Linked DNA regions of Mytilus edulis. The protein of the gene in region 2 purifies or fractionates together with the protein of the main gene of each other region. This does not show direct contact. Links are inferred from orthologs where the notes say so. Each region holds a gene or a part of one and is shown on either strand. Other genes may lie near its edges.

The links.
Region 1: the proteins of armadillo repeat-containing protein 1-like (region 2) and dnaJ homolog subfamily C member 11-like purify together in Homo sapiens (affinity purification with mass spectrometry; 4 studies listed by BioGRID and IntAct, counting the BioPlex papers as one, with this or other methods). This does not show direct contact. The link is inferred for Mytilus edulis from reciprocal best matches to the Homo sapiens genes ARMC1 and DNAJC11.

What each region holds. Positions count from the first base shown.
Region 1 is NC_092356.1:64,898,587-64,915,331, forward strand, and holds the start of dnaJ homolog subfamily C member 11-like, read left to right. Parts: upstream 1-7,587; 5' UTR 7,588-7,630; coding exon 7,631-7,702; intron 7,703-10,863; coding exon 10,864-10,993; intron 10,994-11,703; coding exon 11,704-11,777; intron 11,778-13,166; coding exon 13,167-13,259; intron 13,260-14,010; coding exon 14,011-14,075; intron 14,076-15,596; coding exon 15,597-15,774; intron 15,775-16,745. Other genes in the region: dnaJ homolog subfamily C member 28-like, read right to left, coding at 646-812, 2,126-2,239, 2,670-3,287.
Region 2 is NC_092344.1:110,183,083-110,200,234, reverse strand, and holds the start of armadillo repeat-containing protein 1-like, read left to right. Parts: upstream 1-10,568; 5' UTR 10,569-10,684; coding exon 10,685-10,703; intron 10,704-12,510; coding exon 12,511-12,590; intron 12,591-12,783; coding exon 12,784-12,858; intron 12,859-13,589; coding exon 13,590-13,681; intron 13,682-14,386; coding exon 14,387-14,500; intron 14,501-16,749; coding exon 16,750-16,831; intron 16,832-17,152. Other genes in the region: mitochondrial fission regulator 2-like, read right to left, coding at 1,926-2,047, 2,960-3,111, 4,662-4,897, 5,623-5,771, 7,487-7,699, 8,262-8,336.

The DNA.
Region 1 (16,745 bases), on a different chromosome or scaffold from region 2:
CATTTTGATTCTAAGACTATAAATAACTTGAACATATATGTAAATCATTTATAAACAATAAAAAATTAAAAATGTCAAAATTCAAAAAAAGTATAGAATTAGATATGAATAAAGTTGATTGTATTTAAGCTTTATGAACAAATCTCTAGGGTAACTCTATTAGGATATTTATTCTATAATGCCATTTATCTATAACATCTTTTTAATGATTTAAAAAAGAATGGCAGCCATGTAGTTTAGAGGAATAATAAACAACTGAAGAAGGCCAATGGCCGAAACGTCTTGAACAATTGGTTTATTTATACAATTATAAAAGATATGTTCCCTATTGGAATTTTGAAAACAAGGTATTCTATAATGTATGACTATAAAGTTTAAAAACAAAGGATTTAAAAACAGAAAATAAAATAAAAAATTTAAGCACAGTACATTTTTCACAGATTGCTTAAAGTTATTATGTTTTCAAAAAAAAGCATTAATTATTCTATAATATAGCCTTAATCTATAAAATTCAGATATTTTTCAATAAACAGAACCCATAGAGGGGATTTTTACTATAAAACTAAACAGGTTTAACCCTAAGCTTTGAATAGGCCATTATCATACTGGTTATGTATAATATTGCTAGTTACTTTTACTGCTGACCTTATTTTACTTTTCTTGGCTTGCTTCTTATTAACTGCTAATGCTGATGTTTCTGTTTGCAAGACATTTTTACTCATTCTGAACTCTGTCACAACTTCTGAAGCTCTTTGTACTTTATATTTGTCATATTGGGTCTGTCTCTGGGTAGGGTTACCAAATCCTATACCCTGGAATAAATATATGAATTATAATGTCAATACTTGTACTTTATGTTTTTTATATTGGATCTGTCTTTGGCTAGGGTTACTAAATCCTATACCCTGCAATAAATATACAAATTAAAATGTCAATACTTATATTTCGATATGGTTTTAATATTGGTTTTACTATACATCCATAAATAAGTATATATACCACGCTATTTACGAGTTAACATATTTAAACAACAAATCTGCAGTTTGTTTAAATATGTTAATGAGTAAGGCGTGGTGTATATGTTTTGTAACATCATTTAAAAGTGGCCTGGTGATTTTTTATTTAATAAAAAAACAGTGGGAGTGTCATTTTAGCCCGCTGCTTAGCTCGCGCACTAGAAAATCGATCCAGTGGGGAATATGACACATCAGACATGACAAAAAGTTATTTTTCTAAATTGAGCAACTCTGGCTACTCTAAATCAGGCACATACCATTTGATTTTTTTGGGGCCTGGGAATATTTAGAACAAAATATTCCGGCTCTTTTTTGTCATAAATTATGTTAACTCGTAATGTTTAAAAAAAAAAAAAGATTTTCCCCAACAAAACTGTATTGCAACAAAATCTTATTGCATTTATGAAATGCATTGGCAAAAATATTCCGGCTCAGGTATAAACATATCATTGACATATAATAAGTGGTTCCATGTACACTAAACTAGCTACACCTAAACTACAAATATGCAAACAAGAATGTGTCCATAGTACACAGATGCCCCACTCGCACTATCATTTTCTATGTTCAGTGGACCATGAAATTGGGGTCAAAACTCTAATTTAGCATTAAAATTAGAAAGATCATATCATAGTGAAAATGTGAACTAAGTTTCAAGTTCATTGGACTTTAATTTCATCAAAAACTACCTTGACCAAAATTTTTAACCTTGAGCGGGACAGAGGATGGATGGACAGACAGACTGACGGACTAATGAACAGACGAACAGATGCATAGACCAGAAAACATCATGCCCCTCTATTATCGTAGGTACATGTGTAGGTGGGGCATAAGAAAAATCAAAATGTCACTGAACCATCACTGAGAACGGGACCATGAAATCTTGCAAATGAGATGTGTTTATGCTTATACAATGTATAAAAGCATACAGTTACCAAAAAATAATTACCTACCATTTAATACTAATAGAGGTTTTAAACTCAGACCTAATCATATTTTTTTTACATGTAAATTATGCAAAATTGTCATGACTGAGGAGCCAAGTCGAATACATTGTAATCTCCATGGAAATTGAATGTATCAATCTCAGTGTGTGTGTGTGTACATACCTCATTACCAAGGTATTGTCTATGCTGAGGTAGTGTGTGTGGAAAGTCAAATATACCCTCTTCCTGCTCTTCAACCATGTCAACTGGCATCTGTAGATCAGCTCTCATATTTGCCTGCAGAAAAAAAATAGTTATTTATTAACTTACAATGATCAGAAAATGTGTTGCCACTATGCCACACTTAAAATATATGAAATTTACTGTGTCAAATATTGGATGGTGCTTTTACATTTTATAGCTACAAATGTAGTCTATTATTATTTCTCAATTAAAAAAAAATCAATTTTAACATTTAATTTTCTTCCTTTCTTATGATTTCTTTATGCCATATAGTAATGTAACCAAAGACACAAATATTTTTTAGGTTTACAATTGAAAAAAGTTTGCAAACATATAACCTATGCTCTAAAAATGCATTAGAGAAACAGATTCCATTACTGCCCATTGATCTTGTTTAATATATCATCATGCATTTCACACACATTGAATTCTGGATATTTTTTTATAGGATCTCAATCTCAATTGATGAAACCACTGATCATACCCTTATGGCTTTATAAGCATCCTGAATCTGTGAGAACTTGCGAGGACATGCTGTTGATGTCCCACTGTCTGGATGATACTGTTTAGCCAGTCGTAGATAGGCCTCTCGTAACTCCTCCTCCGTACAGTCAGGTGACAGGTTAAATAATGAATAACAGTCTTTGACATTGTTTTTTAGCTTATAACCAATCTGACAATTAATACTACTGGTGGAAATGAAGTGTTGTCCACAGACAAATACCTTTCTTTTCAAGCATAAAACTGAAGAAAAATTCTGATGCAATTTGTTTTTTCCTCTCAAATTTGCTTCTTTCTGTCCTGAACCTGACATGGAGAAGTAGGATAAAATGACATGTGATCCTCTGCTATTAACCCTAGATACATTTATCATTTTGTTTAAGGTAAATTTATCACAACAACTTAAAGACCTTGCTACCAGAGCAGTTGAAATAAGCCTGTTACAACAAAATGTAAATGTAGACATCACATTGACTGAAGTCCGTCTTTTACTACAGCGACAAGATCGTTGATATGTGCTGATGTTTGAGCGGGATAATGTATTTTTCTGTGGTAATAAATGAACATGTTGATGTAATATGTGTATCCTGTTTTGTAACATTTCCTAGGTGACTGTATCAGTGAATATCATGACTGTTCTCCTCAAAACAACAAGACCTGTGATGATGACTGTTGTTCTCAAATCATCTTTAGTGTTTACTTCTCTGTTTCTGTAAAATAATCATGATAATTATCATATTGTTTATTTTATTTACCCAGAAATAACCTAGAACAAATATGGTTAACATGGTTAAGTGTCTGTTTTTCTTTTAACATATTTTATTCAAATTCAGTATAATTTTATTCTTTTAATGTGCATTTACGTTTAATTCTTTTTTTCTATAACTATTGAATGCATTTAATACAAAATATTATTTATTATTTGCATTCTATAACCAATATTTTTTGTGTATCTTTCACGTTTCATTCCCGATCATGTGACAGTTTCTTATAAAATCAGTTGCGTGTATGAATAGCCTCCGAAAGCCAAATTGGATACGCATCCACTCATGTGGGTACATGCATCCACTGTCTTAAGTAAACTGTTGAGCTAGCCGGGTATAATTTCATGAGACAAATTATTAGTCCAAATAATTATGACATCTTCAAATGGTTTTTTTTTTTTTTTTAGCTTTGATCAGGTCTTACTGTATTGACTGTAGTACCAATAATTATGACATCTTGCAAGGCTAATGGCAATTTTTTTCTGAAAAACGATTCACAATAAAATGTTTGTAAAATGTTGCATGTGGCCAGTTTAAGATACCTAAACACACAAATTTCTATAGCAAGGATTTTGTGGAAGCAAGTTAACTCGTACCAACGGAAACTCGTACCATGTTAACTCGTACCAAAAAAGTTAACTCGTACCAACTTAAAGTCGTACCACTGGGAAGTCGTACCATTAAAAAAAATGTTTTGTGGTGTTTTTTCTTTCTAAAATTAATTAAAAAAAGTTGAATTACTGTAATTTTATACTGGATTTTAATGAAAACTTGGACAAAAATACGTTTTTTTTTTATTAAGATACTAATATAAATGGTCTTAATTACCTTATTACCCTGCTAATTAATATACGATATTCATTTGATGTAATAAATATGAAAAATATTGAATACGTAGATTCAGTAAAATTGATAATGAGAAACAAGAACATGATTGCAAATACATATAAAGATATTCTTATTCCAACTAAAGGGGCCATGAAGAGCAAAGTAATTTTTTACAATGATTTTATAATTGTTACAATAATGTTGACATATATATTATCAACGTCTTCAATAAACAATATCTATACTATATTGATAGTTTTCTTAGTTCTCAATATATATTATTTATTGATATATCATTATTCATAACATCTCATTTTATTTCAGACAGCCTACTACCAGAAGGACACTGTGTACAAGTTTGTCAAGAATCTCATGGCCCTATCATTTCTACCGGCAGAACACATCCCTACTACCTTTGAGGACATTGCCACCAAAGCAAAATCTGCCAGAACAAAAGAGCTTGACGCCTACGTAAAGAACACTTGGCTGTCATCAACCGTCTGGCTCGTACCATCATGGAGTATCTACATGAGATCTCGTGCAAAATATTATATATAAAAAAATTCATACTTTTAACATGTTGGTCATAAACAATTTACAACCTTTAAAACACACTAAATTAATTCTTTCAGTGAATAAAATTCCTTCGAGAAACAAAAGAAAAGTAGACAAATCTATTCAATGTAACTGATTTGGAATGATTAAAAATTAAATCCAATGGTTATCAGTATAAGTTTAAAAAAGAATGATTCAAGGGAGACAACAAATCAAATCTGCCAAGGTATTGTCTATATCTAATACACATGGAACATTAGCTACAGACTAGTCATTTTACTTTCAAATTATAAACATTTTACAGACTTAAGAGGTTTTGAGAAAAATAACAGTATACATCGGTCTCACTAATTAGCGACAACAAGAATTTTAGCGACAACAAGCGTCAACAAGCGACAAGAAGCGACAACAAGAATTATTTAAGCGACAAACAGCGACAAGAAACTATTTAGCTGTTATTTAGCGACAAGAAAACATTTTTTTTAATTAAAATTAATTATTGCAATAAATATTAAAAGAATATGCAAAAGAAAATAATTTTAGCGACAAGAAAGTTAAAATTGATAGAAAAAAATGAAACATTATTTACATAATATTTTATCATCTATTATGAATAACAGCCAGTATTACGTTTAATTATTGTATTATGAGATTACTTTTCCTTGTGTTTTAGAACATATTATTTATCTTATAATTTGTATTTTAAAACTCTTTTCGTGCAATATGTATTAAGCTCGCAAAATGAATTACTTGTGCATCATTGTCCTGAAAATATTGACACAAATTGTGAAATACAAAGAACTGAAACCAAACAGGAGGAAAAGAAAATTGAAATGTGAATGTTTTCATCTTTTTATTTGTTTATTGCCTCATTAAACGATATTTATCATGTTTATGCATATTGATTGAAGATGAAAGGAAATTAATGACAATCTTGAGTTTTCAACAGGTGTTCACTATTTACAATGATTGTATAGTCTGGCGCGTGTAATTGTATAGTCTGACGTGTGTACAAAGTTGAAGGTGTTAATTGGATGTTATTGTAGCAATAAAACAGGGGACACGCCACTCGTTAATCTCATTTGATGTTCCACATTGTGTGTACTGTTATTACCTTAAGGTGAAGCCACATCTAATGTTGTTCCTATCAAGAACAATGAATTATACTGTTAGAAAGGAAATAATATTTCATGTTTTTGTTTCAATAAATCCTTCAAAGGAAAGTTGACCTTTTTTTTGGGGGGTTTTTTCCGCAAAAGTACGTGATCTGTATATGGACCCCAAGGTAGAACCACGTCCTCGTCGTGGGCTCTGAAAACACGCTTAAATAATAAAGATGGCAAAGCGTGGCTGAGAGTTTTACAAATAAAGCATCGAATTGACATAACAAGAGTACACTTAGAGCATAGTATTAAGCAAATGAATCAAAATATTATATTCCATTATGCCCGCTCCATATGTATCTCCATTCGTTTATTCATACTTTGACTTTGATGAAAACAGATTCATACATTATCTTATACATATTCTTCATATTTAAAAATTAAAAAAAAGAAGCTCAATCTCTTTCTTTTTCACAAATGTTAAATTTCTTCATCTACCAATATACTAATATAAACTTCACAATCTCTTTCTTTCTCACAAATGTTTCATTTCTTCGTCTATCTGTAACAATGGAGACATTGAAGATGAACTTCACTTTCTTTTAAAATGTTCCTCCTATAAATATGTGAGAGATAACCTTATTAAAAAATTAAATAATGTTCTATTGAACAACAAATTTTCTTCCTTATCATATAACTTGCTTATATCAATTCTAAATAGTAATTCCCAAACAATATTAAAAATTGTTGTCAACTATTTGAATGAATGCTTGTTGCATGGATTAAAAGGTACTTGATTTTTGTAATCATGTATATGCTTCTCATTTATTTTTTATATATTTCTCTCATAATTATCCACTGTCACTCCTTCATTGTATATATGTTATTGTAGTTAGTCTTTAATTTGTTGCCATAACCATTTATTGTCAATGTGTTAGTGCTAATAAAGTTATCTTATCTTATCTATATAATAAAACATTTTAATTAGACATATCTGCTCGTATATTTAAAAAAAAAACATTACATACAAATTTCTTTATATCTAATAAAAAAAAAATGTTTTCTTGTCGCTAAATAGTTTTCTTGTCGCTTGTTGTCGCTAAAATAAATTTTGTTGTCGCTTCTTGTCGCTTGTTGACGCTTGTTGTCGCTTGTTGACGCTTGTTGTCGCTAATTAGTGAGACCCGCTTACATTCATAATTAAACACCAATCAAATGCATTTAAATAAGTTGGTACGAGTTAGCAGTGGTACGAGTTTACATTGGAACGAGTTATATTTTAGTGGTACGAGTTAACGTTGGTACGAGTTTACATTGGTACGGGTTAACTATAATTCGATTTTTGTTTATCCTTGTGCATATAACAGCTGTTTTCTAATCCTGCTTTTTTAGTTTTTGCTTAATAAAATCATAAATTATTTAGACATAAATAAATATACATCAGCAATATATCATATATCAACTACGTCACATTAATCAGCCTAATCTTCTTTGTTTTTCTTGAAATGTGTATGCTCGATGCTCCTCAGCATAGCCGTAAACTTTACCATTACATAAAAACAACATGACCCCAATCATGACCTATACATACTGGTATTGTAGGACGTAAACCAGTTTGACTATCGGCCTGGTATCAAACAGCATATTTATGCCTTTGCTCTCTATTGTATTTTTGTAGGGTACCAGATTGAAGAATGGCAGCGTTCATGGAAGAAGATGGTCTTGCATCTGAAGATTTATATGCTGTTTTAAACGTCGAGCGAAAGGTATTAATATAGCAATTTTATCATTTAAGAACTGTTTATGACAAATTATTTTGATTTCAAATTTAAAGCCACATATTTGACTAAACTGACCCTTTTGACATTGAATTACATCATGCACATTTTTCATTTATTTTTGTATGTAATTTCTGCATCTGGATAAGTCTGTCAAGTTTTAATGTCAAGAAATACGTATAAACTCATAAAACTTGCAACTATACATGGGATTAATAAAACGGCTTTCTATTCACCTTATTGCTTTTCCCAGCTGACATGAGAATCTGTCCGGCTTGAACTTTAGTCTATACACCTTATCGCTATCCCGTCTGACCCGGCCGCTTGAACTTTTGACGTCTTACAACAATCACTTTTCAACTGTGGCGTCAGATATTTTGTTATACGACGGTAAACAAAAATAATATGGCAGAGAATACGTTTCAACCAGGAACAGGTGTAGCTCCTGCTACCTTAGTCGAGTTGTCGATTTCTTGTCGGTATCAGTCATAAATGAGAGTCAACATCTTCCTAGGTTTATAGCTTTAATAATAAGGATGACTGATACCTGAAATGAATGTATACAGTATATTAGTAAATGATTAGTTAGGAACCAGTATGATATCCAGTAATTGCAGACAAATATAGATAAGGTGTACAACAATCACTTTTCCATTGTGGCGTCAGATATCTTGTATTATCACGTCAAAACTTTACGGGAACCTGTGTGATTTCTAGGATAAGAGACAAATAGAGATAAGGTGTATTCTAATGTCTGCATACACCTTATTGCTGTTTGGAAATCTGACTATCTGTCCAAGTTGAACTCTAAATATGTTCGGCTTGAGCTACATGTATTGACGTCATACAAAATCAATTTTCCATTGTGACGTCAGATATTTTAGTTTTGCAAGTTTTATGACTCTGAACTTTCTGTGTAAGACACAGATGTGAAGCCCACCCCTCCAGAAAACCGAGTTTCAGCCGATTTCAATTTTCCAAGACCGTATTTGTGCTCAAAATGCAACTTATACATCATTTGTACATGAGAAACATGAATATGGATAGCCTCAGGTTGACAGAACATGCATAGATTTTAACATAAGTATCAGGCCACCCTTAAAAAATTGTTTGTTTGGCATTGCCGACCCACATGTACACTATCAGCAGGTGGGTAGGTAGGTAGGGATTTTTTTTTTTTTTACATTTAAAAGCTTTATACATGTAAATCATGAAGTCTCTAGACCAATGTTGTCTAAAGCATTGCAGCATTGTTGTGTGTACATGCTGGTGGTTTCTTTGAACGGGGTCAACCGTCAATGTCACATTCTACATCATATGGATAATTTCATGTAAGACAGTCAGTTTTGTTGGCAGAGTTAACCAAAGGACCCAGAAAAAAACACAGAACTGAGGCAGGAAACTGACAAATTAACCATATAAAATGTACAATGTATGACGTGAAAATTGAACTTTTATTGTGGGACTGCCAATTGAACAGAGGCCTGATGTCACATCTTGTGGTCACAGTTTGGTAAAATTACCATAAGTTAAATGGCTCAACCACTACGGCTCCTTGTACAAATGGACAAAGATTTAAAACTTTTATTGTTTGCTTTGGTTTTATAAACATCACTTTCTACACCGTATGTAATTTCATGGCAGTCAGTTTTGTTGGCATACTATTAAACCGTAGTACTTGAAGGAAAACGGCGGCAACCTGCGGGAAGAAACTGACTAACCTTATCACATATGACATGAAAATCAAACCTTAATTTTGCAACTGCCCAACTAGGGCTCAAACCAATACCTAGAGGCTAGTAATCATACATGAAAGGTGTGACGAACTACCATACAAACACGCCTACTGCCCCTGATAAGTTTTGAGGATATAGGATCTGTACCAAATAAGGATAGCAAAATATTAAAAATTTGGAAGGTTGGCACAAATAGACATGGTGTTTATACTAATATTATCCATTAGTGCAAGGTTTTTCAGGGCTATAGGTTTAAAATGTATGATAAATTCAAAATGGAAATATGCAGCAGGACAGACAATTTTTGCAGATAAATAAATTATGGGTTGTAATGCTTGTTTGATTAACAGAAATCTGGACATGCATTACATGAATACAGATAAATTAATGAGCCCTTAGAATTGTGGAAAAGGAAGGGATTTTATTCATCACTAGTACACTAGATACATTTATAAATATGTTTCTGTCAGTATCTTTTATGTTTTAAGAATTATTTTATTCATGTTAAGAAGAAAGGCAAGAAAAGGGGGAAGTACTTCAATTGACACAAGATGCTAGTCTTTAAAATATGTATGTTTTGTACCAGGCTAGCATCTACTGGTACAAAACTACTATAAACCTGTAAATCTGGGACCGTTTTGGTCTATGGGCTTTAGTGCTTACAGCCATAATTATCTTGAATGCATCATTGTGGTTCTGACTATAGTAGATACTTTGTTCTCTGGTTCAAGGGAAAATTTGTCAATGATACATTTCAAATATTTAATAAGTTCAACAAATGTAAGAGCCACGCATATTTGTTCTGTGATGTCCCGGAGAAAAACTTCTATCTCATGAAGCGACAAAGTCGAGCAGAAATCATCTGTTTCTGCTTTTAGCCTTTACAAAAGATAAAACTTGAGTCCTCTACAAAGTCTCTCAGAACGTTTCTTTCAAAGAATAGCTGAACATTTGATTTTTGATAAAATCCATCTCCCTTAACCAATGCATTGATGCTTTCCCCTGCCGGCCTCTTTGACATTACTTTTGGCAAACTTTTTCTATTCCATGTCATTTAAATGTTTGCTCCCAATAAGGCAAGCGCTTTTAAGATCGTGATTTGAAAAAAGTAAAGCCAGGAACAAACTCGGCGGATACAATCAAATTCCGGCACAATTTCGATTTTTTTTTAAATAAAAAAAAATAAATTTCTGAAACGCAAATAAAATTATTTGGGCGGCAAGTTTTTCAGTGGGTCGGGCGGCAATGCCAAACAAATGAAATTTTATTTTAGGCCTCATAAAGTGGACTTCTAAAAGAATGGAACGCCATTGGAGCCAAATAACGTTGTTTTGGGTATGCCTGCCATATGACAGTCACGGCATGGTAAGGGTTAAGTTAACCATGTTAACCAGAAGTTTGTTTATATTTCAGGCTAGCACAGATGAAATCAATACAGCGTTTCGTAGATACAGTAAAATCTTCCACCCAGACAAACATTTAGATGATAAAAAAAAGAAGCATGCAGAAAACATGTTCAATAAAATCAAGAAAGCTCATGAAGGTAAACGATAAAATAAAGATGAATTTTCAAAAGCTCATTTATATATGCATCATGTACATGTAGCATTGTATGGAGATGAGTGACTCAAAGCAGGAAAAATACATTCAAAATTGGGTATTACCTAAAGAGACAAATTAAGAATTTTACAAACAATTTCACTGTACTTTACACCCTCCCATAATTGGAGTTTCCAAGTTCACTCCCTGGGTTCCATGACGTATATTTAATATTTTTTGGTATTCAGACCATATATCTCAACATGTCATGTATGTGCTCTAAGGTTAATTTCTCAAACATGTCTTAATTATTTCACTTATATTCAAATGGAAATCTCTTTTATTTGCATGTAGATGACATGACAACTTGCATTGATGAGAATATATGCACTGTATACCTAATTATTATTATGAGATGTAACAGATTTATAAGTGACAAAGATTGCTTGGGCATTTGTTAGGTAATAGCGTCAATGTCATGTAAATTGTCATAAAATTGCTCTTACCATATTGGAATCTCTGAACAGCAAACAGAATTAAATCTGAATCAACAAAAACAAACTAGACATGCTAGATAAGTTGTAGAATGTCTAAAATTAAAATAAACTAGTATGTGCCTGTAAATGAAGAAAAAAGTTGGGAGTTAAGAAAACTATTTTAATTATTAGAAGTTTTGGAACTAGTTGATGAGAACATTATTATATTATATTTTAGTTTTAACTGACCCAAACAAAAGACCAGTGTATGACCAATTTGGAATGAAAGGTTTAGAAATAGAAGGCATGGAGGTATGTATGTTTGTATCAAGGGTCCGGAAACGGTCATATTTGACAGTCTTGACCTTTACTGAAAGTGTTTGTCCTAAACGTGGAATTGGGATTTAGGACATATTTTATTTTTTAACAGAAATAATTTCGGTCATTTCGTTGTGATCGAGTTTCTAAATCGCCATTTTGAACTTTAGTTTTGTTATCCCTTTCCTGTAATAAAACTGCCACTCAAGTATAGAGTGATAATCATGAGGGCCCTCCTAATAACTATATTGATGCCTTTGGGAAGTATTGGCTAATGATCTCTAATCTCTTTACCTGTGTTTTTAATTCACACTTGCCGCTTGGCTATTGCGGGGGCTATTGATCACAAGCTCAGAACTTTTAATTATAAAGAAATTAAAATTCCATAACAACTGTCTTCATTATTTAATTACTTTTCAGCTAAGACAATTGTCAATTCTGATTTAAAATTAAATTAAAACTTGATTTTATATAAGTAGAAAAGTATTTTGTCGCTATAACTAACACAAGTGCTTTGTTTACTATGTAATACGCATACATGTCAAAATCCTCTTCCGCCGATTAGACACTATATCGTAAATTCAAAATTATTTCATGCTAAATAAAGCAAGTGCAACTATTATCATTCAAATTCAAACACTATCAAAGTTAAAAATTAAAATTGACTTCCTGTGAATTTGATAAACAAGACTAAACCCGGAATTGCTCGTTTCAGAATTTTGCAAAACATCCGGTTTGCAATTTTGTCTTCAGTAACGTAAGCTTTATGCGATGCAAGCAACAGTAACACAAGTTCGTTGAGGCTACGAGTATGAACATACTCAGTAATGTAATTTTGACAATATTTTTTTGAAAAAGGGCACCAACTTTTAAGTTATCTCAAAATGACCGAAATTAGGTGAAAAAATTTCCGGATCCTTGGTTTGTATATTAGATGACCTTTACGGCTTATTCAATTTCCAAGGATGTCATAACAGTCATGCTATTTCATTTGCAACAATTAATTTATAAACAAATGCGAAAACAGATGTTTTATATGATTTTGATTGAAAAGATAGCAGCTAGCAAGCACTCTTTCCATCAGCATTCTGCCCTATTAACAAGGGGAGGTAAATTGGAATTATGAGAAGGAAAAATTTCTAAAAACTATTCATATCAACACTTAGAAAAGTCCTCATTTTCTTTGTTCACAAAATTAAGCAAAGTATTTGAAGTCATATATATGTACATCAAAATATTTACAAGTCCACTCTATTACTGCATATAAAAGCAACACTTCTAATAGATGATTTTCATATAAACGACTTGACTCTAGAGTATACATTTTTTTGACAGTATTGCAACCAAATAATAATAGATTTTAAATATTTGACTTGTTTTCAGTTAATATCAAAATCAAAGTCAGCAGCTGAAATAATTGCAGAGTTAGCAAAACAAGAGGAGGAAAGAAAGTTACAACAGATGACTAATCCAAGGGTAAGATTAACAAAGCAATGACCTTTGACATTATCATGATTAGCTTGATTAATATATATTTACACAGAAATATAAGGTGATCAGTGAAAGTCATGCTTTTTGATATAGATGAAATTTTGACATATATGGATGAACTTTTTAATAGTATTGTTGGTTTTTTGGGGTTTTTTTTATTAGCTGTCTCATTATTGTTTTGTTTCAAATGTCAACGTCACAAATTATAAGTTATGATAAGTTCATTATATAATATATACATATTGGGGACAGGTAGTGGTAGGTCAATAAGATTAATACAGTTGTAAAGCATTGACACATCTTATTTCCATAGAAATCATTTGGTTCCTCCAACCCCCTCAGTCATGGCATAGCTTGAATACATACATGTATAAGTTTGTGGTAAGGTCAGTTTAAGGGGAACCATTAGTGGAAGCCCATAATATTTGGTATGTAATTGTTTTGAAATTTGTACTTCTAATTTCCATGAAGATAATTTGGCTCCTACACCTCAGTCATGGTATATTGACTTTTTTAATGTTTTGCATAGTTCACATGCTTAAGTTTGTAATAAGATCAGTTTAAAATGAAAAACTAATATTAGTTTTAAGATAATTTGTATGCAATTGTATAACCATTTGAAAGTCTCATGGAGTTTATATTGCCCACCCCTCATCATAATTATTTTGTAAAACTGTTTTATCATTTGTAAGATCCAGCCATCTAAATAATTTGTTTTTATTTTTGTTTTTTGCAGGGTCAAGTAGTAATAGAACTCAATGCCTCTGATTTATTTTATAATGAAGAATATAAAGAATACAGGTAAACCACAATTATTGAGTACAATGCAAATTTTCAAAAAATATCATGACATAAGGACCACAAGTTAGTGGCACAAGATTGAAGAGCTATATTTATTCTGGTAGGTCTGAATGAATTGAAGATTTGACCTGGATCAAATTATGCTGCATAAGATTTTAAAATTAAACCAAGTCCAAGAACCTTTTAAAACAAAAATGATAATCAAGTAAAAAAAGTTAAAATACGTATACGGTTTCACTGTCTTTCATAGCTAAGATCATGATTCAAAATGCATTTGTTCTTTCATGGAAATGCCGATTTCCAAAATCAAGTTGCCGTTAGAAATGTATGTTATTGATTCTAAAACACTTCACGAGTGTTTAAATATGACTAAATCACAAAAAGTAACATCGGAAAAGTCATATTTTTCATAACCAGAATTGAATAGGTACTTGTAAATCAAAAACAAATACGGTGCGATCCACGTCAAAATTTCTTACTTTATATTTTTCAAAAATATATGACTTTGGAAGTAAATATTGCCGTTCCTTATCAAATTAATGAGCAGATATTCATTGAAATACTGTTTAAAGGACCTTTAGCTGAAACAAAGCACATGTATCAGTCTGTAAAACAAAATCCTGAACAAAAAACCGACTGCGTTTTGTAGTTTATAATTGTTGTGCTGGTTCCCGGCAGTGTACTAAACTACATACGTAGTAAAAATACAAACGAATACCAGTTGATAATATTCCGTTTTTGAAAAGAAATCTGAAATTTTTCATGGGACATCACATTTTGTCAGTAAATTTAAGAACATCAAAATTAAAAGTGCATTTCAATATGGATAAGGTAAATGATGAGAGATGAAAAGATGAAAAGATGAAATGGCGCCATCTACAATTTTCAATAACAAAGATGGCGGACAATAAACAATCATAACAAAATCTAGATTTTACTTTTTTCTTGCTTATAGTACACCCGGGCATGCAATTTTCACATTGATGTATGATACTATCGCAGAGAAATCAGTTCTGAATTTGGGGAAACATGCTTTGTATTTCAATACCTATCGGTCGTTTAACTTTACGTTTGAATCGAGAATTTTTTTTCGAGAATCATGAGGCGACATTGGGGAATTTTACTGAAAATCGAGGGCGACATAAACTTCTCCCTGGAGCTTCTCTAGAGCGAAGTGGGGAGACCTAGAGCGACTTTGTCGCTCACTTCGCCTGGTGTGGTGACCCCTGAATATTGAAGTACAGTTTTGAATTGTAGGTCAAAATATTAGTTCTTATCTTCAGCATCCAGAAAAATTATTTCCCCAGATTCTATCCAGATTCATATTACACTTTTGGTGTTCTATTCAGACTGGATAAAGCTTTTGTGATGTTCGATGTCATGACAACTCATTTGCTCAAGTAAAAGTCTGTGTTACATTATAATTTTGGTTTGTTGTTGAGATACTATGGGACATTGTAGTTTTTGGTTTATTTCCTGTTTTATGATATATTTGTGATAATGGTATTTGCTCTATTATAGTTCTGGTTTAAGTGGTTTAGAGGTCAGTAGTATGAGTTTAGTACAGACTGTGGAATGTCCTCTTACAAGACGAGATACTGTCAGACTTGGTGGGAATGTGACGGCACAGAATGGAAACGGGCAGGGGATGTTTACAACAGTATGGAGGAGGGTGTGGTCAGCTAAAGGTTGGAACGAGGTAATATGATCATACAATCTTCAAATATCAATAACAAATGCAATGGTTAGATAAATTATGTATGTAAATGACACATAGGGTATACATCAATAAGATTTTTACTCTTTATATGATAATAAAGGAAATGACATTTATACATGTTATAAGCTTGATTATAAAGTTAAAAAAAATAAAATATGATAAGTGCATAAATAAATTGGAAGGGTTCTCTAATCAAAATATAGCATTGAATGTCCATATATATGTGCATGTATGTTTTTTGAAATATTGCTAACAAATTTATTGCTTTGCTAAAATGAACTCTCAATTAGCATTATCGAATTAAAAGTGTAACATGTTAATATATATTTTTTAGCTCACCTGTCCCGAAGGGACAAGTGAGCTTATGCCATCACTTGGCGTCCGTCGTCGTCTGTCGTCGTCGTAAACTATTTCAAGAATCTTCTCCTCTGAAACTACTGGGCCAAATACTTTCAAACTTTAACTGAATGTTCCTTAGGGTATCTAATTTATAAATTGTATCCGAAGTTTTGATCTATCAACAAATATGGTCGCCATTGCTAAAAATAGAACATAGGGGTCAAATGCAGTTTTTGGCTTATAACTCAAAAACCAAAGCATTTAGAGCAAATCTGACAGGGTAATATTGTTTATCAGGTCAAGATCTATCTGCCCTGAAATTTTCAGATGAATCAGACAACCCGTTGTTGGGTTGCTGCCCCTGAATTGGTAATTTTAAGGAAATTTGCTGTTTTTGGTTATTATCTTGAATATTATTATAGATAGAGATAAACTGTAAACAGCAATAATGTTCAGCAAAGTAAGATTTACAAATAAGTCAACATGACGGAAATGGTCAGTTGACCCCTTTAGGAGTTATTGCCCTTTATAGTCAATTTTTAACCATTTTTCGTAAATCTTAGTAATCTTTTACAAAAATCTTCTCCTCTGAAACTACTGGGCCAAATACT
Region 2 (17,152 bases):
TTGGGGAGATAACTCTTACAACGTAAAGTATTTTGTTACGTGGTTGTAAATTTTTAAAGCGTATAAACTATACAATATCATATTTTAAATATCTAAGCGACATCTTATGAAACAACAAAACTACGCAAGAAAAAAATTTAGGCGGAAGAAGAAAAATAATAATTAAAAACCAATTGTTCAGAGAACAATTGAAGGTCTTTCCACTAGTAAAGATCTATTTTGATATGGAAATATGAAAAATCAGTTTAAAATGTTAGTTCCTATGGCTTTATGATGTATTAATATCAATTTAAAGCAAAGGTCAAAATCTAGAACGTCCTATTAACCTATGACCTTGACCTCAATTTCAAGGTAACAAACCAAGGATCTTAAATCAAAAGACCCTAGGTCTTTAATATGTTTGGTTAAAGAGTAATATCACTTTACGGGTAAACCTAAATATAAGATGGGCAAAAACTCCCATTTATTATTTGCGCACCCTTTCAACCAAAATATACAAGTAAGGACATGTCGCAAATAACAATTTATGAAAAATTATTTGTTGATATGTCATACGGTATTTGAAAATCAGTGAAAATAAGCAAAAATCAAAATTTAGAACATGACCTTGACCTTTGACCTTGACCTCATTTTCATTTTTTTGGACCAAGGACCTCAAATCTGAAGACCCTAGGTTTCTATCACTTATGGTTTACCAGTTAGAAATGCATATTACTTATATCATTTACATAAGGGGAAATAACTCTCATATGGAGTCTCTGGAAAGCTTCGGTCCAAATGAATTGCCTAATCCTGAAGATGTAACGAGCAATTTGGTAAAATAAATTTGTCGTAATCTTTTACGGTTGCGAAGGAGTAGTGGCCACAAGAAAAACAGTGTTTGGGGAGATAACTCTTACAACGCAAAGTATTTGGTTACGCAGTTGTCAGTTTTAAAAGCGCATACACTTTACGATATCATATTCCAAATATCTAAGCGACATCTTTTGAAACATCAATACTACGCAAGAAAAAAATTAGGCGGAAGAAAAAAAAAAAAAAAAAAAATAATAATAATCAGAACAAATTCAATAGGTCTTTCCACGGAAAGGTGGAAAGACCTAATAATCAGAACAAATTCAATAGGTCTTTCCACGGAAAAGTGGAAAGACCTAATAATCAGAACAAAATCAATAGGTCTTTCCACGGAAAAGTGGAAAGACCTAATAATCAGAACAAATTCAATAGGTCTTTCCACGGAAAGGTGGAAAGACCTAATTATTATATTTTCTCACTTTCAACACTCGTGTCCAGCAAATAACCTGTGCAGGGCCCCATTACCTTAACTGCTTTGCATATACGAAACTAACGAGGTTAAAGTAACAGTGTTACATCACTGTTCGGTAAATACTGCATATTAAAGGCAGTTCATTACACATTTATTGTATCAAATGATTATAAACTGTGTAGCATTGTTCAACAGTTTGTTTTAATCAAAGTGTAACAATATAATTTGTACATCCAGGTCATAGAAACAAATCTATTTTTAGAACAATTTTATTTTCATATCTCAGGTAAAGGAAAAGTCGGTACATAAATAAACTAAAACTAAATATGTTTATAAACTTTATTGAAAGAATAAACAATGAAATAAAATGCATGACACTAGACAAATAACTTTTATTGGAATAAATAATCATTCAATATGTTGTAAGTGGATTATGGACGTTCATCTTTCTTCAGGATTTCCTTTACTGATTTGCACTATCGATGTTATTTGACGCCGTATTTTGGCATTTCAGATATAAGCATACTCCGCTTTATTGCATAATTTCGTCTGACAAATAGGCTATGCAAATAACCGGAATGTACTCTATTAACATATTTATATACTCCATTCAACTCATTGTTATAATTTGACAAAATATATTGTGTAAACTGGTTACCTTTGAATACTTTTCAGTTTGACACTTCCAAGACCTTTTAAGACATCTGTCAATGTGGCCTGTTTGGGGGGATTTTCAGGAGTACTATTTCTGTTGTCTTGTAATGTCTGTAGCACTATTGTCTGAAATTAGGAAAAAAAATATGTTCATGGGACACAGATCCACTTGAAAATATATGGTAAATTCATCAATTTTTCCATTTACAAAGGGACGTAACTCAAGAATCCTAATAATGACGTCACCTAAACTTTAAATATGATGTGTGTTAGGTAGTAGTAAGCATGGTTATAAACATAAAAGTAGAGAACAGAAATCAATTTAAAGACCCTTGTATTTATGTACAGACAGACAAAAGTAAACCTTAATGTGCTCTATGTCTGCAAAGGAGAAATTAATAAACATAACTTTTTATTTCTATCTTTTCCTTTTAGGGCCCCTAAAAGGAAAATATAAATTAGGGGGGAGCTATGCTTTATAGAAATATAGATTCCTACACTGCAACAAGTGTATTACAATATTTCTCCACTCGAGACAGTTAAATTATATTATTTAAAGCGTGAGGCTTGCCAAGCTCTTTAATTAACTAAAATTTAACTGCTGAGAGTGAAGAAATATCGTAATACACGAGTTATAGTGTAGGAATCTGTTTCTCTAATGATTTTTATCCTTTTTTTTCAAAGATTTTCAGAAACTTGTGGTCTTTATATGCGACGTCATCAGGCATGGTTGCCTTTTTTCATGACGTCACAATAGGAAAATTCAGAAGAAAACAAAACATTTAGACGTCATAATCAAATTTCGACTAATCATTTGCAGAGAACAGATTTTTCACTAGTGAGGAGAAATATTTTTCTCACACCAGTCAGGAAATGTGAAAATAGCACAAAAATTAGAGAATATAATTTCTTAAACTATATCACACCTTTTCCTGATAACTGCTCAGTTTCCCTTGTTCAAAGAAAATATGTTAACAGCATGGAGCTTTTTTCCTAGACATTATAATTTTATCAGTGGTGTAGACCGTAGTATTTTACCTGTTTATCTGTTTTAGTCTGAGTAACAATTGGTGTTGACTGTTTTGTTGCTGGGAGTGGTGGTGGTGGCGGAGGGGCTATCGGGCAAAGTGGTGGCACTGGTACATAATCCTCTGTTGATAACTTTTCTTCTTGGAAAGACTGTGGAGGTACTGTAAATAATATAACATAAATAATTTTATTTCAGAATTATACATAGATAAGGCCAAAAATAAAATATTGTTTGTTTCCCCTCACCTGACCGACCCGGTAAAATCACCACGACCCGAAAAATTTTATTGGTAATTCTTGTCCACTATTTTTGTTGTTGCTATGTTGGTTATTAGTGATATCTTTCAGATGCTGTAGTCAATGAGCGTTGGGTTTTGGTGATACCTTTCCGATGCTGTAGTCAACGAGCGTTTTAAATCAAGGTATTTTTGCATTGAAGGGTCTACATGATTCGGAATCAAGGAAAACAAACAAAATGCTTTGCCACACGATTTGTTTGTGCAAGGGTGATCTTTTTTTGAAAATAAAAAAAACTGAAGCATCTTTCAACCCGCTGAGTGCATCTTGATTAGATTTGTGTCTAACCTCTGTTCCTGTTTAAAGGATAAAATCTTAAAGACTTTGAGTAAAAACGGTCTGACTCGTGCTTTAAAATCTATCTACTTTGTCTTTGAACAGGTTGGGCACAAGTCAGGAAATGTGGGATACATGTATTCCCTGCTTTCAGGGAACGTCCCTGTTTTCTGGTGTAAAAAAAACCCAGTATGAATGGGATTTCCTTTTTCAATTTATGGCATGAAAATTACAAAAGGGCACATTTTAACGTTATAACTGAATCAGTAGAATTCATAAATACTTTATTAAAAGTATTTTAGGAAATACAAAACATGAAATACTTTATTAAAAGTATTTTAGGAAATACAAAACATGAATATAAAGTGAAGCCTTGTTTCTTCTAGAACTAAAAAAAACCTACAAATCTTTGTTTAGGAATCAATTGACCAAGCTGCATGATCCAGGTGTAACTGAACATAACTGAATTATGTTCACTTCTATTGAAAATTTTTATTCATTGAATTTTAATTCCCAAGTGATTAACATACATGTATCTTTTTGTCATCTCATAATTGATGATCAAGGTATGAATTGGTGAACAAAGGATTTGTTTTGTTGTGAGTTATGCATCAAATTAGACTTGAAATAAGCTTGTTTTTTTAACTAAAAAAAACACTTGCTATCATTAAGCACTGTTATCACAAGTAGAATGTGCACTTTTGTAGATTTCATTACATTAAAAGAATAGGAAAAAAGGAGGTCCCTGTATACTGTTTTTTTAACACCAGAAAACTGGTGTACACTGAATTAGAATACAGGGAATACCCCACTTTTCTTGACTTGAGCCTTACCTGTTGAATTTTGTACAAATTCAATATAGAAAACCATATCAAGGAATAAAATAAAATAATTTGCCTACCTACCTACCCATATCCTAACAACCTCAGTCGGGAGAGGGGAAACAAAGATAATTTTAATGTTGGCCTAATCTTTTGTCTCTCTTATTATAAATAATGTGATTTAAAAAAGTAGAAAGAAACAGACACATATGCTTTGGTTTGAAGGAACAAATCACTGTGGCATCATTTATGATACATGATTAAATTAAGAAAACTGTATCCTCTACTGAGAGAAGTGGTTTTCATAAAATATTTACTCTGGGATTTATTGATCTGTTCTTGAGCTTCCACCAGCATGGCTATCTGTAGTCGTAAGTTATTGAGCTCTTCTTCCATGACTGATAACTTCTGTGTCTGTTCAGGATCTTGTCGTGTAGACACTGATGATATCATGGTAGAACTCATAGGGGATAAGCTGGGTCGAGATATAAACAAATCAGCATCTAACTCATCAAGAGCTGCATCATTTTCAAAGTGCTTCCTTTTCTGTGCTCTGGAAATAAAAGGAATATATCAATACAATGAAAGTTTAACAATTTAAATCTTAACTCACCATTTACTAATATTAAAGATCACTCAAAATCATAGAATATATTTGTCATATTAGTATATCATTTGACATTGGAAACAGTTTCATGTATCTAAAAACCAGGTCTAAAAGAAATATCTAAAAAAATCTATATTTTTCGATCTATCTTAAGATAAACATAAACATATTTAATACAAACCAACTTCGAGGTATGGGAGCTTTTCATTTAATCAAGATCCTTTCACTGTTGAGCAGGTTAACATGGCTATTCTTTTTTAATTTGTGAGGTTTACACAATGCAACCCTCTAACCTTATTGCAGGAAACCACATCATTCTATCACATCTAGTTCCACAGCATTGTATTTGATGCTGCTTTATGACCATTTTTTAAAATTTGAGCTCATATATTTAATTTTCATACAATTACAAGAGAGACAATGATAAAAGAACTCAGTATTTTTACAAAGTATAAGTAAGCTTAAAGCTGGCATATATGTGTCCCATATTTTTTTCTAATATGATAATATCAGCTGTTGATCTTTTTTTAACAACATCTACAAAATTGATGCATAACAATATCCCATGCTCATCATTTGTGTCTTTCTATGTCAAATATATCCTCCATTCAACTTAATCATATTGTAAGTAACTGTAGTTAACCGGTTACCCTTGACTTACAATAACCTACCTAATCCTGACACAGTTGTCACCTAACTCTTCCTCCACCCAGACAACATCATCATCTGTAGATGTTCCCAGACTTGTGGTTGATATAACAGAATCATCACTATCACTGTCATACATGTATTTAGGATATCTAGACTGTAACAAGTGATTCTGAAAAGAAAGTTGTATAGCCACTTTAAAAATCATAGCATTTTTACCTAGAATAGAAAATGTTGTCCTTCCAGTAGAGAGAAACAAGAAAGTTCATGATGATTTTTGCATACAACATTTAGGTTTAAAGTGGCTTATTTCCCAATTAAAAGTGACTGCATATGAGTATATAAACACACAAACAAAAAGATTCAATTTTATATAGTTGTTGTAACAGCATTGACTGAGCATATTGATGCCCTTCATATGTAAATGAGCTTCAGTCAACATTTATATCCCAATAAACTCCAAAAAGGTAATTTCAATTGTTAAAAAAGTAATTCTTTTGGCCTGTAGATATGAATTTTTCAGACCAAACAGCATTTTTACAAGCCTGGGCTGAAAGGACTGAGGTTGATCATGAGTGTGAAGACTGTAGTGTCAGGACAACCATGTTTAAAACCTATCACAGGGATCTCCATGGATGAAAATTGAACGATGGAGGAACTTTCACCATTACAAACCGTGTCTACGTTGTACAGTGTAGTGCGATCGGAAGTATTTTATTACACCATACAAGGAATGGTGTACATGCTAATTCATTGCTTATTTAAATTATATTTATTTGAATTTTCATTATAGAATTAGAAGTATCAATATTTTCATTTATTGCCGTTTTTAACCATTCAAATGCCAAGTCTTCATGGTCCCCCCTTAGTCGAGAATGACCAAAAGCTGTCATGAAGGTCCCCATGTAGATTTCTTGTATATTTGGTTATTGTTATGGGGGTTAAAAATCATATGATGTGGAGCTAATTTTTCATGGACACTGTCAAATTCAGAACCCATTACCGGTATGGCTGATTTGCAGCAACAACAAAACAATTCGTATGGGTTATGTAAAAGGTTAAAGAGATTTGTAAAGCAAACGTTGACAAATGAAAAGGTTTTTAATGACTTTATCTGGCAAATTGATGCTGTGCAACATATATCTTTCGAGTCTGAATAGAAACCGGAAACGCGGATGTATCAATTTGATTGTAATATACGAAATGAATTCGGAATTAAGATACGATATTTCTTTACAGGAAATATTTAAAGTTTTTACTTTTAAACTTTTAAAGTAATTCTAAATTATCGTTACAGCAGTACTCGAGTTATTTGCGATGAAATAATATTTACTGTTTTGCGTCTTATTTTGTACTTCTTAAAAAAGGGGGATGCTGATTGCGTAAGTCAAAACAAAGCACATGTTCGACTTGTTAAACTGTTTTCTTTGTAACTGGATTATTAATTTATTTATTTAATCTAAATTATCATAATCATTTGCTAAAACTTAGTTGATTATTTCGACAAATGAATCGTCTATCCTCAGATAGTATTCTCGTGTCTGGTTTGTTGATCTACCTGTACAAGCTCAGGTACAAGTGATTAGCGATCTTAATCCGTATATTCCTCAGGCGTTAGAACTGTATTGGATTTTAACATAAAAAGCCTAAGGGTTATGCAATTACATGCATTTGATTATACTTGATAAAAAAAAAATGGCGTCGGGCTACAAAAAAAGATGAAGTTTTGAACGATGGCGGAAGACATTTAACGATGGCGCAAGACATTTTAACGATGGCGCGAGTCATTTGACGATGGCGCATGACATTTGAACGATGGCGGGGCGCCATCGTTAAACAGGCCATGGAGATCCCTGTATCAAACATATTTTCTAAGTTATTTCTTACCTGTATTCTAACCCTTTTAACAGGTTTCATTGATACATATGATCCTATGATTCTTATCAAACTTTTGTGTCGTACATCTGATTGTATTTTATTTACTCTGTTGATTGTACGCTGACGAAAGGAAACAACATGATTCCAATTGTAGGTGATAGCTTGACGAGTTTGATAAAACCTCACTCTTCTCCTAGCATTTAATTCTTCTAATAAAGCTCTCTGTAACATAAAACATGTACCAAAAGTTGGAATATTTTAACTTTAACTTACAATTTTTGTATCATTTTTACATGTTCAAAAATAATATAGTGAAATATGGAAAACTAAGTATTACTTTTGCATGTCATGGCAGTTTATATAATTTTTCTGTAAAGATTTAACACATTTATTTGTTTTCTCACAAACATACAAGATTGTTGATACATGTACAACTACAATTCGATACAACCAATCTATTTTAGTAGTGTTTGAGTGTCTGCCTAAGTGTCAGTTTTATACAACTTTTAGAATGTTTTGCTGAGTTGACTAAAAAGGAGTCTCTCAACATTCCCCATGATCTTTCAAATTTACTTATGTTATTTGAAAATTTATTGACCATGACACCATGACATCATTGCATCATCAATGTATAGATCTCTTTAGTCAATGATTTCATGTAAACAAACACATACATGTATAACTGTATAATTAATGCATATATATATATTACAAGCACATTATTTGGTACAATATACACCTGTGCATCATTTATCAAATGAAATACATGTAATGAAATAATTACCACATCTTCTGGATCAATTCCAATGTAATCTAAAATAACTCTCACAACTACCACTAAATCATCAATGATGTCCATACTTTACACTGTAAAGATTATATTGTTTAAATCTGCATGCCTCGAATTACTGTCATACTGAAATAAAAGACAAAAAGTCAATTTCATAACAAAAGTCAGAACATAGACTCCTTTCACAAAAAAAGGATCATAAGTGATACTGAAATGTGTATGACTTGTGAGTTCTTTCACAAAAAAAGGATCATAAGCGATACTGAAATGTGTATGACTTGTGAGTACTTTTACACTTAACATTTTTTTATGAAAAGAGCCGCTGTATCATTGGTATTACAAATGTGCTATGATCAACATAAAATTTTAAATCAGTTTTTTATAAATGTTTTATAAGAATAATTTGTATGATTTGAGGATTTCAACAGTTTAAAATTAAACGTATAAAATGAGTTTATTGGACTATCTGAATTTTGATAGTTAAAATGTTTCAAATTTTCACCATCGAACCTTTGTTTTCTTTCTTGTGGAATATATTTGACTAATGTTCCCATTTTGATTCACTTTATGATTATTCAAATCTAATAAAATGAATTTTATTAGTTTTTTGTGTTTTTTTTAACAAGGAATTACTTGGGTTAAATTTTTATACTTCACAGAAAGAAAAAAAATAGCGTTTCATAACAAGATCTCATAATTACATGTATTTGGACTAATTATGAAAGACTGTCCCTGATATGGCAAAAAAATAATAATATGTGAATTTCCTAATACATCTTTGAAAGAAATAGGGTAGGTAGGTACAGATTTTTTTTGTTTTATCTTTTTTCAACATTGAGTCTATGGGAGGAATATTCAGACTTTAACAGTGCTTAAATTGAAAAATGACAATGAAAATGTTAAGGGTAGGCTATTTTATAGCTTAAAAAATAGGAAGAGTAGGATATAAATACAACTTATCACTATTTGTCCACTATTACTGCACATCAGAAAGGTTCTCGTAAATTTGACATTATATAAATCTTATGAAGCCACAATGGAAAGTGATTGTTGTATGACATCAATAGTGCAAGCATGACAGATTCTCTGGTCACCCAGGAATAGCGGCACAATAAAATACCTTATCGCTATATGTGCCATTACTGGACATCACAAAGGTTCCAATAAAATTTTCAAGTCATAATACAAAATATCTGACACCACAGGATGAAAAGATTCTCAGGACAGCTGCATGACTGCCATAAGGCTGAGTGTCAGAGCTGGGACAGAATTCAGAAATGGCGGCAAACCTCAGTAAAGGTGTATCATGTATAGTGTTCCTACTATATAAACAATTAAAGTATTGGTTGGTATACATAGAAGGACTATGGTAAACGGACAGAAAGTCACAAATAATATGTTGACAATTGTTTGAATATATAAGAGAAATATCTTGAAACATTTACTTTTTAATACATATATTCATATTAAAGTTTAGGAAATGTGTCATTATACTTGAAAAATTAAGATTTATTTAATTCAATCATGCAAAAGAAAGATTTCTTGGCACCATGAAGCCATTTAAGTGCCAAACCACTTTGACATTTTGTTTTTTTAACAATTATTTGATTTACTTTGATATTTTTTTGATAAATTTTGTTTACAAAGTTAGATTTTATACAATAGTTCAAGAGAAATACAAAAATATTTTTTTGGAAATAAGTGTTTTATATTCAAAGAAAATAGTCAGAAAAAATGAATTGTGACTTTTTGTCCTGTGACTTTCTGTCCTACATTCTACATAGAATTGGCTTATGACTTGTTATATGCATCTTTATTTCATTTATATGTTGTTTAATATTATAATTGTCTGTATAATTTTGGATCACGCCTCTATTGTGCTCTTTCCAATAAAATATTGAATTGAATTAAAAAGATGACCACAACAGTTAAAAAGAGTATGTGCCAACTGGCAGTATTGCTGAAATGACTGTGGTCGAACTGGCAGTATTACTGGAATGACTGTGGTCGAACTGGCAGTATTGCCGAAATGACTTTGGTCGAACTGGCAGTATGGACGAAATAACTGAGGACCATGGGACGAAACATCTTGCATGGAAGTCTCTGTCTATCCCATGCTAAAGGCATGGGCTAGACAGAGACTAGAAGTAGAGGAACATTTACTATATTTTGCGTGTACATCGTTTATGTAAAATGTGATGAATATTACGTACAGCAGATTAAAACCAGGGTAATTTCAGTAAAAATGTAGGTTATTGTGTCGCCGCCATTCATTCGAAATTCACTTCCTGTCAAACGTTTGTCCAATCGAAATTGATTTTACATTCATTCGCCAATCAGATTACAGCTATTAAACGTGGGAATTTCAACATTAAAAAAAGATACACAAAAAGGACAGTGCAAGAATATTTTGAAAAATGCAAGAAAATCGAAGATGTATGTGTCAATTGGTCAATTTTAAACCACATTTTTATGCATAGAATTTCACTGTGAAATTGGTCTATATTTATACACATGTGACGTGTTATATTCTGCTATGTGAAGCAATCCTGTCACAAAGTGATGTCAGCTTCATCAGCAGAAATTATCCCTCAAGTGAAGAAGGAACTAATCAATGATTACTGGGTTATCTAGAACTCTAGACACTCCCAAAAAGCTAATACGTATGTTCCTCTACACAAGAGCTTGGGGGTTCTAGCAATTGATCCTCCGTGCTTTCTCATTGAAATAAAAATAAAAACTTATTTTACAACAAGTTTCCGAACGAAGAAAGCAAAACTGCTTTGAAAAGTTTCCAATCTTTAATTAAACAGATTTTAAATTAATCCGAGCACAGGGGCTTGTTTAGTGGGTCAGACGAGGTTTTACTGTCAATGGCGATCGCTATCCTATATAAAAAACCAGGATAGTGATCGACATTGACAGTAAAACCTCGTCTGACCCACTAAACAAGCCCCTGTGGTCTGAGCGGGTCAAATCTTAATGGGTGTTCACAACATGCGTTTGTCTCATTAAACAATTACCACAACTTTATACGGCAGTTACGTTTTTATGCAAACAATGTGTAAAAATACAATACTTTATTATCAATACACAATAAATATACAACAAGTTTATTCACACAGGAATACACGAATAAATAATAACAAATAAACAATCAATGTTAATGTGTTTGAATTGCCGATAGCGCTCTATTTAACAAGGGTAACTACGATCTATAAATAGGGCAAAGTATATATTTTTTAGAACTTGATGCAGAGATCAGTAAAAAAGTGTGTAAAATGTATGCTGTTTATCTTTTATAGATACAAGTGAAATTTTAAAACTATCAATCTTCTTATTCTTCAACGTGTACATGAAACAGCTTCTCTCTTCAAAACTAGATAAACAATTGCTGAGCAGAAGTTGACATCAACAATGGGAAAAGAAAGTACAGGAAATAATATAACGTAACGTCGTGTAAATTGTACGTTCACAACATACATTTAGGTCAACAGTTATATTGGTAATATATAACACGAATACAAAATGTGTATAATGAACAATCCAGATCATAATAAACAAACAAACAATTTTAAGTGTTGTAAAACTATTGACACAAACAGTGAAATTTACAAACATCATTTTCTCCTAGAACTATCATGTCAGACTATTATTGAATTGAACCAACTAGAAGAACACACAAGTTGTTGCTAAATGCCAAGACTAGCAAGAGGCCTTTAAGATCGGCCCTCAAAATTAAGTAAGCAGCATGTGATCTCATTTCTGTTGTTTATATACCAAAGATTTTGTGAACTACAACGATTATTCAGACAGGTTGTGATATAAAGATTATCCAATAATTTTCACTGTGACTAACAGAAGTCCAGTTTAAATACCAGACAAATAGCAATAATGTGTTTTGCTTGTTAGTTTACATTTTTTTAGCTCTATATGACTAGGGACCCCATAAGTAAAAATAGGCCAGAATTTGTATTGGGTTATACTTGTTCAGATGAAAATGAGGTAATACAAGCTAGGCAACAGTAATCCTCTATATACAGCCACATTATCAAATCTTAACACAGGAATTTGTTCCTGTTAAAAATTGTATGTTTTCTTGCAATAAGAAACGTTTGAATTTAATTCTCTTTCAATAAAAGAAACTTTAATATTTTAGACAAAGTCTTCCTCTTTGTAAGTTACAACAAATTTGAAATTGATTGATGTGTATGAAATTGACAGATTTTTTTTATATTTGTAGATAAATCCTTGTCTGCAGATGCATTGACTTCCCTGAAGACTATGGCAAGTGATTCCAAAAAGAGAAGTTTCATAGTAAAGGTGAGGCTTGAATTTCATTTTTTTTCATTGCCTGTCAATGTCATTTGTGTCAAAAAATGAATATTAAAAGATAAATTTGCCTAATGCATGTAGTTTAGTTAAGACAATAAATCAATTGCTATTTCTTGTAACATAATAATATTTTGTATCCTTTATTTAATAATCATGCTTTAGGTTGTTATTTATTTTTCAGGATGGAACATTTTTAGGAGGACTTGTTGTTGTATTATCTAATCCAGATGTAAAAATTGTCACAACAGCTCTAGAGGTACATGTATATATATGTATTAACATATACATGTATCAAGTTCAATTAAAAGGAGATTTGTTTAAGATCAAGGCAACTAAGTGCAGACATCACATAGTGAAATAAGAATTTGGCTGCATATATATAGGGACAGTGGCATGCCACCCGTCTAACTACATGTTTGTAGTGATTGGCAACTGCTTTTCATGGCAATTTAAATCATACACACGGAAACATTTTGTTTAATCCACTATGGCATTCAGTGCCTCCCACTTAAAAATCCACTGTGTTAGTCCTGGTTATAAGAGTTAGATTAGATATTGTGGTTGTGGAAATGTGTAACACTTTATGATACAAATAGTTGTATTTTTTAACTACATAGTTTTTTCACTAATGAAAAGATACATTTAATGTTCTAAAAACAAGAGGAAAGAAATGAATTTGGAAAATGCTTGCTCTTGATCGTGCGTTGAATGCTTTTATCTGTTATTATAACTTATTTATTAATTTCATATACTTGGTATTAATTATTGGATACTTTTTTTCTTGTATTTTGTGGGACTAATTTTCTGTAGGATTGTATGCACACTTTGACAGAACCATGAACTTAAATATCAATGGATTTTCATTTTTTTTCTCAATTCTCCTAAATGGGTGTCTATAAAAATAACTGAATCCACAGTATTACATATAAAACATTATGATTATTCCATAACAATGATTTTCATTGTACTATCTACTTGTTATTGCAGACATTAATCCTTCTGGCTGAAGTGCCAGAATACAGACCAACACTATCTTCATTTATTGGTTTGAATGAACAAGTAGAGATCCTACTAAACAGGTTAGTTATGAAGGTTAACACGTGGATCACTGTTTACATATTACTCAGAAGAAATTATTCTGAGTATTCTTTATTTATTACAGGACACTCATATATTTTTCAATGTTTCTAGGCACATTTGAAATTTATTGTTCAGTAATGTTCAGGAGAAGGTGTCAGACTGGATCCAATTGAATTTAAAAATAGATTATGTTGATTCATGTTATTTTTGTGTCCCATTTATGGGCATTATGTTTTTTGGTCTGTGCGTCCATCCTTTTGTCCGTCTGTTTGTCCGTCCATCCTGCTTCAGGTTAAAGTTTTTGGTTGATGAAGTTGAAGTCCAATCAACTTGAAATTTAGTAAACATGTTCCCATGATCATTCTAATTTCAATGCCAAATTAGAGATTTTATCCCATTTTCGCTGTCCACTGAACATAGAAAATGATAGTGCGGATGGGGCTTCCATGTTCTTGGGACACATTCTTGTTAAGATATAAATCTCAGGTTTCAAGGAAGTTCTGTTGTTTTCAGGATTTGGGAAATTCAAGGTAATTATTATGCCTTGACTTATGATAAATCAAAGGAATTGTCCATCTATATCATTTATAGCTCTTATGTATAACTAATCCATTGAATTTCAAATTTATATGCAATCTTAAATTTTTATAATAAATGTTTGTACTTAAAACACTTTTGTTATATCCTCATCAATTATTTTGTAGAGAAGATGAAAACATTGCTAACCTGGCTGAAAAATTGTCTGATTTATTAACACAAAAACCAGAGAAACATGCACCATTAAAAGATTCATTTAATACATCAGGAACAAGGTCAAGGTAAGAATATAAGTCTTCTATCATGGACGGTTCATTATACATTATACACTACGACGGTAGTTGATATATAGCTCTAAGTCAATTTTTAAGGTTTTTTTTAAGGTGAGTTTACATGTCTATCAAACATGGTTTGACTGACCATGAACTTATTTCATGGATCTGTAATGAAGGTTAATATTTTTTGTGAGGTCCATATCTCAGATACTATTAGCAAATGGTAAACACAATTTGGTGTATGGAATGATTTTAAGGTGAAAATATCCATTTAGTGAGGTTCGACTAATACTTTCACTGACCTCATTTTTATGGTTCATTGGTCAAAGGTTATTTTTCGTTGTTAGGTCCTTTTCTCAGATACAATAAGCAAAACTAGGGGTCGAAATTAGCGCTGGTCCGGTGGTCCGAGACCAGTAGAATTTGCGTCGGACCAGTAGATTTTGTCACGTTGTGGTCCAACGGACCAGTAGAAATTTGTCGATAAAATTTTGGTTTCTTTACAAAACAATTTACCTGCAAAATCAATTACTTGGTACTGGGGGGTACTAAGTATTGCAATTGATCAATTTCATTACTATTTCGGATGAGCGTCCTTCACAACAACAAAAATGTGGAAATTTTTGGAAAAAGATAAATCGCTGGACAAAAAAATACAATAAGTGACATTTGAAGGGAAGATCTGAATTAAGTTCATGAAATTGACAAAAGGAAACGTAAATATAAAAAATCCTTGGAAAAAGATCGTGATTGGTTAAATTATATAGTTGATCACAATGTAATCAATTGCATATCATGTGAAACACTTGTAGTGACAGACTTAGATTAGAAATGTGTTTTTGTACCGAGATCTTCAAATTTTAAGTTAGATTCTGTACTTTCTAATGAACAATCAGAACAGCACTATAAAATACGAGAATAAAGATGAGGAAACAAAGAAAGGGAAAATCATGAAAATAAACGTAAACATCTCCTATTTATTAGTGTTTGTCAAATGAATTTCATTTGTGCAGGACCAGTAGATTTGGAGCCGCACCAGTAGATTTTTCAGTCCACTGGTCCGGCTGGCTAGTACACAAAAAAGCTTAAATTCGACCCCTGAGCAAAACGTCACTAAAAAATGTATATTTGGCAAATGTAATGCTTGTAAGGTTTACCTGTTTATCTTGCTAATTTCATCTGACCTTGTCCTCATTTTTATGGTTCATTATATAATAAGTCCACATATATTCTATGATATCAAAAATTATTGAACTGTCAGTCATGAACAAACCTGTAAGAACTAATATGTCAACATTAATGTATATATATATGTAGGACTCAAATCTATGGTGGGTTCCAAATCTATGGCAGATTCCTAATCTATGGCAAATGTGACGTCATGCCATCCCAAATCTATGGCAGATTTTTTATAATCCTAATCTATGGCAAGTTTTGTAATTTCCTAATCTATGGCGGATTTATGTTCACGGTTTCCAAATCTATTGCAAATGATGAGCAAATGGAAAATAATGCAGTACCTATACGACCAATGATTTGTCTAAAATAAGTGGTCATGTACGACATCGGAAGCATGCATGTCTTTAAACATTTGTGAAATAAACATTCAATAATGGTCAACCAAAAAAAACCAGACTTCAAGATTGAAATGATGTGCCCCGTAAAAATCTTTGCATGGTACCTGTTTAACCCATTCATTAAAGCAACTAGTCTAGTAAGTCCCTTAAGAAGGTATTTTTTTTTATAAAACAGAAATGACCAGTTTCAATTTTCAAGTAATATTTATTTCTTCGTTAATGCATCTTTTTTTATTATTGAATGACGATTTAAATCAAATTGATATCCGTTTTTCTATAACTCCTTTCTCTAATAACTCGATGAAAAAATCGGTCCCGTTGCTTATCGCGGGCTTTGGCCGGTACAGCACATTTCGTCCGCCTTCCGAATATTAGTAATAGGTCACATCTTCCTTGAGACTATCAAATTGTTGTCAAGGGAAATGCCTATATCTGGAATGGTGTTCAAATCTATGGGTTCCGCCAACGTTTGCGGGGGCGACGATGTAATATGGCGTTATTTAATTGTGACGCAATTCAAAGATCTGCCATAGATTTGAGGAAAACAAAAATCTACCATAGATTTGAGTTGTTTTGCATTTGTAACGTCACATTTGCCATAGATTAGGAATCTGCCATAGATTTGGAACCCGCCCTAGATTTGAGTCCTACATATATATATATATTATTTTTTTTCAGGCATGGAACAAGTAAGAACAAAAGTGTAAATGGTGGCAGAACAAAGCATATAATCTTACAGATACGAGGTCTTGTAGTCAAGGTAAATAGGGGTAAAAACTTGTTCAAGTGGTCAAGTTTAAATGGTGTTATATACCTTTATAAATTTAAGGAGTTTAGAGGTATACGTCAATGAGACAGCAACCAAATGATAATTATAACCCAAAAGGACATCTAGGTATTAGAAAAAGATTTAGGAGACAAGTTAACAGGAATGCTTGTGTTACGTAAAGTGGATTGACATATGAGAAGATTTGTACTCAAGGTTGTTTATTTATTTATTTCATTGTAATTTATAACAGTTAGACATGAGATAATGAGGAAACTTTGTCAAGGTTGCTTGTTACAATTCGGTGAATAAACA